3 linked regions of the Drosophila melanogaster genome follow. The protein of the gene in region 1 interacts with the protein of each later gene in a pairwise test. Each region holds a gene or a part of one and is shown in the gene's direction. Other genes may lie near its edges. The genes, in order: CG17778, CG8065 and CG43996.

Region 1 (5,352 bases):
CGTATCCATGTCCCTGGCCACGTTGGCTACGGTTTCGCCCATCTGCAGAGATGGGATGCTGCAGCAATGTTCCACCACCTGAAGGCCGCGGAGCACGTCGCCCTCTGCGTCGGCCAAGGTTTTGCCCTGCTCCTTGGTAATGTTCTTGGCCAGCTCACCCATGTTCTCCTTGATGAGAGCCTGCAGCTTGAACATCACCTGCTGGCGGGTGAGGATCGACTGGTTGCTCCACGAGCGAAAAGCCTTCTTGTTCGACTCAAGGGCCGCCTGCATCTCCGCCTGTGTGGCCTTGGGCACGCGGGTGACCACTTGGTTGGTGGCCGGATCGTGCACGTCAATCCATTCGTTCGTCTTCGACTCAACGAACTTGCCGTCGATGAAGAGCTTGGTTGTGGGAGCGGCTGAAGAGTAGGACCTCTTTGCCAGATGGCGGGCCTGGTGATAAAGGAGGGACAAGAGTTGGTAAACAGCCAGTACAAAAGGTATGAACTCCGATCGCTAAGCGTACTTTATTTTCCCACTTCCACGTATACTAAACCAAAAATTTACCATTTAGTCCACCTTTCATTTGCTTTGCAAATTGCCCAGTGCTCGCAATCCTAACCTCAACGGCCGGACAAATCCGTTTAATGTGGGGTGAGGTCTATTTTTTTGGGTGTTGATAACTTGAGTGGTAGGCGCGCGGGGGGCAGCCGCCCACGCTTATCAGTGTCCATCTGGCAAATTCGAGATTTTCATGGCGCGCCTGTCGTGGAAAGGTACCGCTTATCGCGTTTTATTGGATTTAACGTCAACTCAAACATTGTACCGCTAAATTCCCCGCGAATTCGCCTTGTGCGCTTTATCTGCTTAATATTCTGGTTCTAGTTCTACTTCTTCCGCTTCGCAGCGACGTATTGCGTAACATGTGTTGTTTTCAACTGCCCGTTCGCCGCTCACACCCGTGGGCCATTCCAATCACTAGAGTGGGTGGAGTGTGAGATGGGCGCCGAAAGTGCATACATTACATGCCCAAGGCCAATCGCATCGCCAATTACCGAATTCACGGCCACACCAGTGTCAGAGAGAACGAGAGAGAGCGCCAAAACGATCCAAATGCTGATGGATGGATGCACGTATGTATGTATGTCAGGGTGAGGATGGCAGCCTAGCATGCCTATAGGACATACACCCACCCACCAATTGGAAACTCACCTCTGCTCCGATCAATCGCACTAGGGACATCTTGGGGATACGGAGATGAGAATTTGGTGCGGGGATCGGATCGCGTGCTCTCCGAACGGTGGCTACACTGAAACTGAACGCAGCGCAGCCGCCCATTTCTGATGCCAGTTATTCTCCACTGTTCTCTACACATATACATGAATGGAAATATATATGTACATATATCTGTATAGGTTTGAGGTAATGTATGGTGGTGTGGTGTGGTATTGGCATGGTGTGGCGATTGTTGATATACGAAGGCGAAGGCGAAGACCACGTCAAAAAGTGCTTTACATTAGCAAGTGGTTATAGTTTGATGCTCACACACACGTGTACACGCACATATGTATGTAACTTGCTACCGCACACACCGTTAGGAACCGGGGGCACAGCTGTTGTTTTTGTGTTGCTCTGTTTTCGCAATTGTTGCTGTTGCTGTTTTTTGGGGGCTCGTTGTGAGTATGTGTGTGTGAGTGTAGTGCTTGCTTTGCGGTGTTTGCGTTCTTGTCAATTCCCTGCTGGAAGGGAATGTTAGCTATGGTGACGGCAGTGTAGTATTGTAGTACCCAAATGCATACTCTATGGTTAATCAATTTTATGGTAATCAAGCCAGTTTATGTGTTCCAGTTAGATTGTAACAACTTTTTAAGTGTACAACAGTGGAAGTGTATTGGATCTTCGATGCTAGACATGCTGAACTGGCTTAGGGTATTTATAAACACCGGCGGATCCAATGTAGTATATTTGTGTTTTTCCATCAACGTATGTACATATGTACATATGTACGTATGGACACATGTACATATGAACTTAAACGAAATGTAATCAAATATTAATACTAGTGCTTAACCGAGGATGGAAAAAATAATCAATTAGGTGATAAGTGCTTCCTAGCTGAACAGATAAATCCTAAAAATGTTTCCTGGAACGCAGTGTGGACAGAAGCAGGCTGGCGCATTTTTCACTTTCTGAATGAAAATTTGTCTGCCTGCTTTTAGGCTTTTGGTCTATTAAAATAGCAAGTTCGCTTTCATCATCGGGCAGGGTAAGCTTTTGCTAGCAGCCCCGCTTCCTGGTCAACATAATCAAAAGGACTAGCCTGCACCGGGAAAACAAAATCCATGGAAATAGATGCAACACAAATGAAAGGCTTTCTCTTTTTTAAAGAAAGTGGTTTGCTTTGTCTCTCAATGGGACAATAGTAGCTCCTTTCTGCTCTTCAGTGATGCCCACCGGTAGTTGAATCAAGGAATTACAAAAAAAAAGTTCTGTCATTTGAAATCCATAACGTTTACAAAAAATCCATTGGCTTCGAAAAGTGTAAGCATATACTAAAAAGAATTCGATTAAATATAGCATATTTTTATACGTTGTTTTTAAGCAAGCTAAAGAAGTACCAGCACTGCCACTCGCTCTTTCTCTCGCTCCCTCTCTTGCTGCGGAATGCGGAAGTCAACTTGTGTGCAGGAGCATATAAATAGTGGGACCAATCGCAGGACTCGCTCACTCTGCTCGGAGAGCTTGGACTGGACTGTCAGCGCTCCGGACGACGCGCCTTAAGTTAGGCAAAAACAATTTTGTTATTTGCCGCAGTATGGACTTGCTGCGCTGACTTACTACTTACTGTCATGCCAAGAGGCTGAGGTCGAGAGGCAGCTTGGGATCTGGAAAAGATGGAGGCCACGCCGGGCTACCAGGACATCAGCGCTCTGGAAAAATCGGTGAGCTTATCGACCAGGCAAACAGAAATAGCCACTTATTCATTCAGAAGTATAGGCACTCAGAGTGTAGTGAGAGAAATTAGGGACACTCCATGGCGGTCTATTACAATCATAAGCCACATTGTCAGTTGGTGCCGAAATATGAGTATTTAAGATCTTTGTCCAAAGTACCTAAATGTAGACTGTTAATCCAAGTTTATCGAACTTAATTTAAGATGTTGTTATCAGGATTTGATCATAAGTTCTCCTGGGAATATCTTTTCAATGCTTCCCTAAGCTGAAGAGAGAACGGAAGCGGCCAAAATTCAATTACTTAATCCATAGGTAACCTACATTTCCCTCTGCTTCAAGGTGGCCAATGCAGGATCGCAGCTGTACACGATGGCCCACAAACTGCACGCGGTGGAGCGCAGCCTCGAACAGACGACGATGGAGCAGATGGACGAGATGGAGGTCCTCGAGTTGCTCGAGTCGATGAGCGAGGTGACCAACGAGTACCAGAATCTGCGCAAGGACATTCGCGAGGTGCAGCAGTTGCAGCGTGACGTCAGCAGCTCCATACGGTACCAAATGCGCAGCATGCAGCAGACTTTTCACACTCTAAAACAGCGGATAGCTAGCTCCCAGAAGGGTCGCAAAAAGCCCGAGAAAGGGCTCGATGGAGCAGGGGTTGGTATTCATGAATAATCAATGACCCTATTGATTGGCCTCCCTGGCGAATAGGTGCGGTAAATGTGTCAATGGGGACGCAAATGTAGGGACTAAATTGGCACCAATCTGAAGCAATCAACTGTGTAACTATATATCGCAAGCCCACTCCAAGCATTTAGACTCGGAAAAAAATCCTATACTTTATATACATGTATACACATTAAGAAAACCACACCCATTGTATGCGAATTAAGGTTTTTTTTTGGTGTTTTATTCCAGTGATAGGCAGGAATAACGAAAACTCACTGCTCTAAGAACACAAAAACACAATGCTTAACACAGAGTAAACAACATTTACGATGATATGCGTTCTTTAGGACGAACCGGAATGTCTGAATGCACTTTTCCAAATTTTGCCTTAACATAATAGTATTTTGAGGTAGTTTTTGATACGACACGTTTTAAAAGATAATATATAACAGACCGTACATATTTAGGCCACACACAATGGTTATTCTTGTGTTAGTTTCATTTTTGGAGATTTATTTGTTGAGCTCTAGAGAAAATAAAAGTTAGTTAAACCTCGGGAGACGAGGAACGCATATATTTAAATCTGGCGCCATCCGGTTGTCAACAACAACCTTCTGGCAACTCCTCTAAGTCGCATCTGGCAATGTCATCTGATCGCAGCCGAGTGGCAACAGTGGTCGCTGCTGCGTTCGCGTACTTTCGTGACTTCATTTGCGATTTTATTTATATTCTCCGTGTTGCGAATAAAATGTATGTATCATGGCAGTTGTTTAAGAAGCGAATATACGCTGATTCATCCTAGGCTGGCGAGAAGATCATTGCGAAAAAAGTGTACGAAAAGAAAGTGCAATAACTGCAGCTCTATTGTGCGCGCATCTGGGTGTGCGTAGATCTTTGCATCGGTGTGTCGGTGTTTTTTTACGTTTGTGTGCGTGGCGTGCCCACATTTGTGGCACAAGTTTAAAAATTGGCACTAAGAAAGTTCAAGAAAGTGGTTCTGGGGAAAATAGTTCATTCATTCAGCATCCACTTTCTGTTGAAAGTGGCGCGCCTGCGTTTTGTGTCTTAATCATCGCATTGCTGCCTGCCTACGTGTACAGAAACTGCGAGCGCTCCGGGAGAGTCCCCGAGAATCCCCAAAATGTTGTTTTTCTGCCTAGCCTTGATCATCGGCTGCGCAGTCGGAGAATACAGCGAAGTCCGGGTCATCCAGGAAGAGGACAACTTCCTGGAGAGTCCTCACTACCTAAAAAACGAGGAAATAGGAGATCTTTTCAGCCAGCTAGCCAAGGATTACCCCGACTTGGCGCAGACCTATACAATAGGCAAATCCCTGGAGGATCGACCCATCTACGCCCTAGCCTTAAGTGCACCTACCGGGGAGTCCAAGAATGGAGATCTCCTAAGGCCAATGGTTAAACTGGTGGCCAACATACAAGGCGATGAAGCCGTGGGTCGTCAGATGGTTCTCTATATGGCCGAATACCTGGCCACCCACTACGATGGGGACCCGAAGGTCCAGGCGCTACTAAATCTCACCGAAATCCACTTCCTGCCCACCTGTAACCCCGATGGATTCGCCAAAGCCAAGGTGAGTCACCTCCTGTTTCTAGCTTATCAAGAATCCACGGAAAGCAAGTTTTGGAACGGAAAAATGATTGTAAAGTGAGTGTCGAATCGCCCGGCCAACTGTTTATACAACACACTAGACCGAGAGAAAAATACGCTTTGCGTTTTTTTTCCCAAC
Region 2 (4,675 bases), on another chromosome or scaffold:
AGAAACACCGATTTTTTACCTAAAAGAAAACTGTCACATTGGCATTCCCGAAAAGTGGATTCCATCGCACTGAGCCTGTCACCCGACGAGGCGTAGATGAAATGACAACCTGGGCGGACAATATGTCCAGGAGTCATTAAAAAGTTGCCACAATCCCCGCGGTGAGGGTAAAATTAAGCGAGCCATTTGAATGGCAGCCATGGCGACAACGTCGAGAGCATAAGACTTGGACGGTCATCAAAGTAAAGTGTTTTCCAACTTTTCTTTCCTCCGATTTTTCTCTGGGTATAGCTACTGCTGGTTTTCCCTGAATTTCCCTTTTCTTTTTTGTATTGTTCTGAAACTTTGAGCAGCTGCTCCTGCGGCGCTTGTTATTGTTGTTATTTACTATTAAAGTTGGCAGGATCGTAAACAGCTTGCGGCCAAAAAGGGGAATTGCGGATTTGTGTAGTTACCCCTTTGAAACGACCCTGGTGATTGGTGATTGGTGATTGGCAATTGGCTATTGGCTTTGCCATCTGCAGTTTCGCAATTTCCGGCTTAATGTGGTATTAGTTTTATTACCAATTAAAGTTATTCAATTGCCGCGCAAAAGTTAAAAGGCTGCACTAATTTCATTTCCACCAGAAAACCCCACAAGCCCAGTAAATACGCAATGGACGGACATATCTATTTTATGCTGCCGTTTATTGTTTGGCCCAGAGATACCAAATACGACAACAACTGCTGCTGGTTTTGGGCTTTGCATGTTTAATTCATCTAATCAACATTAAGCCATGTTTTGGCAGAGAATGTGGTAGGCATTGTGCCCGCCCACCACCAGTGTCCCCTCTATTCCATTGTATTCGTGGTTCAACCGCTGTTCGTCGCCCCAAAAAGGATACAAAATTCAGTTGCAGATACATCTGTGTTGTTGCTGCTGCCGCTGTCACATTTACATAATTTCATTTGCAACACATTCTGGGCATTTCGGCACCCCCCCTCCCCCTTTCCGACCCGCGACTCATGTTTTCGGCTGGCGGCAAATTATTACACGCTTTTATTAACAAAAATTATGCTCGACTGTTGATTTGCAGCGTCATCGGAGTGGTCGTAGTTCTCTTTCCTTGTTGGCCCCTGAGTACGCATGAATATTCATCACTTAATATATGGGGTCCTATAAATAGATGCATTCTGGCAGCAGGATGCTGTAGGCAGTCACAGGATCAAGGAGCAACGGCCGCAGGCTCTTTTATTAATTAAGTTCCGATTTTTTCCTCCTTTTTTGCTTCGGTTGCAAGAGCAAAGTACGCAGTCGATGGACAGTGGCGCGAAAAAATATGAATTAAGGGGTTCATAATTAGATTCATTAATATGGATTTTGGTTTCATCAATGCTTGCAATTTAATTGACTTTATTTTAATTGATTTGGTAATCAAATAAGTAAAATACAGTTATACACTAGCTAAAGTAAATATGTTAATATTTAGATCTCATTTTAGATGACTATTATTTACAAATGATTTATCTAGCTAACATATTTAAATCCATATTATTATGAAATTGAGGGTTTAATAACATCTGGTTAATAAAATCCAACCCCCCTTTCTGATTTTGCCCCTGATCAAAAAGCAGAATACCAATGATGACGACGGCGATGACAGCGATACACGAGCCACTCAATCTTGTTGAGTAAGCGCCACTAATTTGTTTTTAAGGTCAGCATGGTCACTCCACCCACATTTCCGCCCACATTTACCCTCACCTGCCGCTACCACTTTGCATACTTTATTGACCGCATGGAGAGAATTTGTGTGTGTGTGTGTGTGTGTGCCTGGAGTCTTACCACAAATACGCTTTTAAGAGGCATTTCCAGGACGAAGGCAGCTGAGACCCACTGCAGCATCAGCTTCTTGCAATTTGGCTATTAAAAATCATTAGCAGCAGGGAATTTCAGCCCCTTTTGGCCAAATTTCAGGTGTGTGCCCTTTTCCGAAGTAGAAGAATCTCTACTGCATGCAACATTGTGCGAGCTACATACTTTGTGGCACTCTGGCCAGGCATTTTCATTAAAACGCTGAAGGCATAAATACCAAAACTGGAAACAATGATCTTAACATCCTGGTAATAAGTAATTTTATTAGGTAAATAAATTAAGAATTTAAAGAACCGTTAAAACGTAAAACTTTATGGAAGGTATTCTTTACTTTCTTAGTTTCATTCATATGCAACACACAAAGTTTATTGAATAAAAAAAATTCAAAAGTAATATAGCATATTTTTATCAGAGCACTCCATGACTTAGTACACATTCACACTACACAGAACATATATTAGTAAGCTAAAAAAAAATTAAAAATATGGACTGCAAGGCTCCTGGACTGCTAGAAACTCCTAGTGAATCTGAACTGACCCACTGCAGCATCTCCGCTCTAGATAACATACCAATTCAAGAAGAGGAGTGTCCATCGGAGTTGGAACTTTCAAAGACTTTCGATAAGCTGGAAAGGATGAGAGAACGTGTGCTATATTTGAAGAGCCTCCTAATTCATCCAGTACAAGTAAACAAAGTCGAATGTCCTCCAGAAAGTGACCAGATGAGACTGGACATCGAGCAGTCTAGCTCGGACAACGACGAACTGAGAGTAGTACAACAGGACACAGTACGAGCTTTACAGCAGATCATCGACGTAAATCGCCAACTCAAGGAGACAACTGACTCTCTGACTGGACTGGACGAAAAGGCACGGAAAAACATCCGATGCATCAGAAAGTTGTCCAAGAGGCTGCTCGAAGTGCCCAAGTGGAAGGAGGAACTGAAGCACAACACGGGATTGTGTTTGGAGCGATATAATGACCTGGACATTTCCCGAGGAAACTACCTCGACTACAGTGACAACTTCGTCCGACCCATCCAAACCAACATGAAGTTCTGTTTCGCATCAAAGGTATTGGCAACTCTCTAAGCATACTATTTATAAATACTAATTCTATCATCCAACCTCAAGGCCCCTCTTATATGCAATAAGCAGGATTATAATGACTTGGTAAGCGCTCTGAGTAAATCCCGGAAAACGCTACTGAAATGCCACGGGGAGCTATTGAAGTACACCCAGAAGGTGGACGAAGCGCTGACATTGAAGAACTTTGATACCATGGAACTTCCATCTATATCGGAGCTATCGTTGCTGCTGGACAAGAGCACCCAGGTGACCAAGCGCAGGAGCTCAATTGAAAAGGAGCGAAGATCCTTCAAGTTCGCCTGGGCTGCTCCTTTGGCGAAGCAGGAAAAATACACCCCCGCTGTCGATATTTCCGATTGAGATAATTAAAAATGCAGTCAACCACAAAAACGCCAATATTGTAATTTAAACGGGCATCCTAGTTTCGCATTTTACGGGTGCAAAAATGCGCATAATGAATACGCACACGGACATGCGGCATAAAACACACAATGATCGGGCTAATTGTGCAAAAATGTTTTTGCAAATATTTTGTTAACAAATTTTGCGGCATTTTAAGCCACAGAAATGCAATTAGCCGTGAACGTAATTAACCGACAAAATTTTAGTGTGCAGTGGCCACTTCAACTGAAATGCAAAAATAAAAATGGGAAAACCACCAAATGCATGGGCACCAAATTTGAATTAGAATTTGAATTCATTTTACGAGAGTATTGAGCTGTCGAAAGGGGTTCCGATCTGATGAAATTGATGGCCAGAATGTCTTTGACACCTTAGCGGAGCTTCATTTTTCGTTTGACAAGGGTTCAGAACTCGGTAGACCTGGGAATTTCCCCAAAGAACGGGAGCAACAAGTTTGTCATGAACGAAACTCCTTCCGGGCCGAAAATTTCAGCCATCAAATTGGGCAAACAACAGCCCGAGCAAAGTTTGTGGCCAAATTAATTGAACGGACCGTGTCCACAGGACTCGCAAGGAAATGCTTTCCGCACGAAAGTCTTCTGCCCATGGAGCCCTTACCTTTCACCTTTGACATGACACTTAATTCATCGAGCGAATGTGAAGCCGAAAATTTAATTTAATTAGTGGCCTCCCCAAGTGTTGAAGGTGCTTGGAGGCCTCGTTGGAGTAAAACTTTTATGGCAGCTGTTGAGCAAGGATACGCCGTGTTACGCCCTTTATTCCCGATATTGCGCATTGGCTGCACATGTCCTGGTTGCCAACTTCTCGGGTCCATTGTTCTTTTGTTGCCCGTTTGAATACCTGGAATACTTGTGCGCCACTTGCTCAAACCTCTGACCCTGCAGCCTTCTCATATAGTTGGGCTCATAGTCAAATGAACGCAGTTAGGGAGTTCGAGACCACGGAAACTTGCTCTGTTCTAAAAGGGAAAGCTCAGACATTCATAACTCCCTTGTCATCTTCATATAGTCTTAGGTTTCATTCAACTGCGTGCCCAACCATTATACCATTTAGCAGCACAGTCCATCGATCACCCAGTCAACTCATTGCGGCCAGCATAAAAGTTTATCTGCAAACAAATTGGAAATTTTAATAAAAATTCTTGCGCTAAATTACGCTTAACAATCAAATCCCCACCTTGGACTCTTTGGAATTCCCAATCGCAATCCGAATCCCCCGTCATTGTCATTGTCCAACTGTTCGCTTAAGTGGTGTTAAGTATTTGAAAATCTCGGCATCGGTTTTCCGCCCCAGTCGCCCTCACTGCCACT
Region 3 (3,177 bases), about 17 Mb from region 1:
AAACACATAATTAGAAATAGCTCATTTAGTTCTCCCCTCCTTTCACTGCTAATTGCCATTGCGAGTAAAAGGGCTTGCCACTTTAAATTAAAGTTTAAATGTCACTGAACTAAAAAGCTCCCTCTGGCCAACTTTTTCCCGCACAGATGTGCGTTTTCCTGCTCGCTGTATATCCTGTGGAAATGGAATCGACTCCCCAACGACGACTGCCATCAACTGCAGCAGTTTAATTGCAAATTGCAGGGAAGTCGCCTGGTCGAGCAATTACAAAATGCTAGAGTGGGCCGGCGGAATTAAATCAAATCTCTAAGAGGACATGATAACTGAGGGGCAAACCTGTTTAAGCATACCTCTACACCTAGAGAAATAGTAAAATAACGAGCTTTTATTGTAAAATGTTAATAATCTTAGGCCTTAACGAAAAAGGTGTAGTTAAAACCTTTTATGAAATACAGTAATATAACAAATTGAACAAAACTTAAGATGCCTTAATCGCAATTGTAGTTTCCATAAAAAGTTCGATCGATGAATTTCCCTCAGTGCACGCATGTTTTCCAATTTTGCTCGGGCATAAAGACATTTTCATGGGACAGCTTGTTGCACCCACGGCAGGAAAGCGACACTGAAAATGCATTTTCCAAGAGCGGTACTCATCATGCCCCGCCCATCGTCCTCCGGTGATGCATATAAGTCGTAACTATCCCCACTCCCACCTGAGGCACCTGGATCACCTGCACCATCATCGTCTTCATCATCGGACTTGTCTGTAGCACTTGTGCTGCGTTTCTATTTCTATTTCCATCCTCACCGGCATCCTTTCCATCCTTTAGCAACTTCCGCAAGGGTGACGCTCAGCATGGTGTGATTATGCACTAAGAAAAAATTGTCCAACATTTCAAGATCTGAGAAAATATGCATGTTTTCCTATAGTATATAGGATTGAATGAATGAGGACAATCAAAAACTTTTATAATAAACCATCTCAAAATCTCAAAATAAGTTTTTGTATTTCCTTCCTCATTTTTTCCAGTGCATGTCGTGGTGTAGGGGTTTTTTGTGGGAGATGGTGAGTGACTTCCCTTCCGCTTGCGTAGGTGTTTCGCTCGTGGCCATCTTTTGGCCTCAGTTTACCATTTTTCTTCATCTTTTGTGAGCGCTGATGAATTCGTTAGACGCCACCCCCCCCCCCCCTTTTATCCACAACCCACCACCACCCACATTTCCCAACCCCCAATGCCAACCCGCCCATGGTCGCACCTTTGGGGCAATCGTGCGCAGGTTGTAAACAACAGGCGGGGTAAAAGAATGGAAACAAAAACCGCAATAAGTGAACATTTCAGTGCCGCATCCTTGACGTCAGTGGCAGCAGGAAACTGCGGGAAAATCAGGGAAAAGCTGGAGAAAAGCATCAGGAGATGAAGCCGCCAGAAGCCGCAGGAATGCAAACCGATGACATACCGGAAGGAAAGCCACAGGAATCCATTGGTTTTGTAAGATTTCCATTCCGGAGGTTGAGCGAAAATGTTTATGAGAATCAAAAGCAAACAATTAAAATTCAAGGAATCATCGTTTGATGTTTAAATGTTTCGAAAAGCATTAAATGTCATTTGCTACGCTCTAACAAAATAAAATGGCCTGGTTAACTAAAATAATCATTATATTTATCCTTTTGCTACACACTCAATTGACTCAACTGATACAGTATATTGACGATGGTGACACATTTGATGGCTTTAACTCCATATTTGAAAAGCCAAAGAAGCAACGAAGCGGTGCCATGGAGGACGATTTCGATCGAGATCGGGATCAGTGGAAGGTCAATACCGACATGGACTCGCAATCGGGCATATGTCCCGCCGAAAATCCGAATGATGTGAAGTATGAAAAGAAGGATCGCTGCAAGGTTGACAGGAAGATGGTCAAGGACGAGGACGATGACGAGAATGCCGATCCTGCGGGCAATAGTGATGACGATGATATCCATGATGGTGATGAAGACAATGGCGATGATGAGGCTTATGAAGAGGAGGACGACGACATTAGTTTTGAGGATGAAGCTTTTGTTTCGAGAATTAACTGTTTGTTGGGATCTCTGCACAAGCACACCAAAGCCATAACCGATAATCTGCAGATCCTTCAATCCCGCTTGTCAAAAGCGAAAAATGACAACATATGCAGAAACAACAACCAAGGCACTACGCCTACGGAACATCCTAGTCTGAAATGGTCCAAGAAGCCGGATTTCTATGAGGCAACCGAGCTGTGTGCTGATGACAACTGCCATTTCGAGGACAGTGTGGATAACAAAGAGGTCCAGCCACAAGCTTTTACTGAGGATCGTCGAGTGATGGTTCCGCCTCTATTGCAACTCTTCCATGGTCCTGTCCAGCTGCAAACCACTTTGAACAGCGGCCAGGACATCACGGGATCAAAGTCGAGATATTGGATGACCTCACCGGAAACATCAGAGGAGTTTCAGGCTTCATCGCAATTACAGCCGGATGAAAAAAATCAAGAACGATACGAGGATTACGATGCTAAATTGCGTCGCCTCATGGACAGTCGGGATGAGATCGAGCGAAATGTGATGAGAATGATAACTCCGGATTTATAAAATAAATATTGTATGAATATTAATACTTAAAGAGACCCTACAATAAAGAATAAAACCATTTGTATGTACTCTTGCTTTAAATATGTTCACAACTTTTAAAAAATATATTAATACTATATGAAATGTGTAATCCAAGTACGCCAGCCCTTCTTCTGCCAAATGTTTCAGCCGCTTTTACTCATTCCGACTATAGTCAGCACTCCGACAACTTATCGAAAATGACTTCCGTCGCTTTACTGGTGATAATCTACATTTCCATTGTGATTTTCGGGCGCTGTCAAGTGGACGGACGACGTCCACCAAAGAAACCGACCTTCTACGACTACGATGATGAATCGGACATGTTTGAAAAGATGACGGACCAGGACTATGAGGTCCAGTCGAACTGTCGCAAAGGCCAAGATGTGGACGCCATGGACGAGGTACTGGACACCAGTGACTTGGATTTGAACCCAGATTACCGCATGGGCAAGAATATGGCACGTTCACAGCGCAAGTCGCACCACAAGTTTCCCGATTCGTGGGCCATGTTGGTCAAGGAGGGAAAGGAGGAAATGCAGCTG

What was found.
Region 2: the proteins of CG17778 (region 1) and CG8065 interact in a two-hybrid assay, tested with the Drosophila melanogaster proteins (one large-scale study listed by BioGRID).
Region 3: the proteins of CG17778 (region 1) and CG43996 interact in a two-hybrid assay, tested with the Drosophila melanogaster proteins (one large-scale study listed by BioGRID).

The regions. Positions count from the first base shown.
Region 1 is NC_004354.4:492,194-497,545, forward strand, and holds CG17778 (uncharacterized protein), read left to right. Parts: upstream 1-2,420; 5' UTR 2,421-2,523; intron 2,524-2,584; 5' UTR 2,585-2,876; coding exon 2,877-2,924; intron 2,925-3,275; coding exon 3,276-3,611; 3' UTR 3,612-4,176; downstream 4,177-5,352. Other genes in the region: CG17896 (uncharacterized protein), read right to left, coding at 1-435, 1,195-1,224.
Region 2 is NT_037436.4:10,213,373-10,218,047, forward strand, and holds CG8065 (uncharacterized protein), read left to right. Parts: upstream 1-2,292; 5' UTR 2,293-2,339; coding exon 2,340-2,927; intron 2,928-2,987; coding exon 2,988-3,302; 3' UTR 3,303-3,608; downstream 3,609-4,675.
Region 3 is NC_004354.4:17,020,694-17,023,870, forward strand, and holds CG43996 (uncharacterized protein), read left to right. Parts: upstream 1-1,610; 5' UTR 1,611-1,630; coding exon 1,631-2,614; 3' UTR 2,615-2,677; downstream 2,678-3,177. Other genes in the region: CG43997 (uncharacterized protein), read left to right, coding at 2,833-3,177.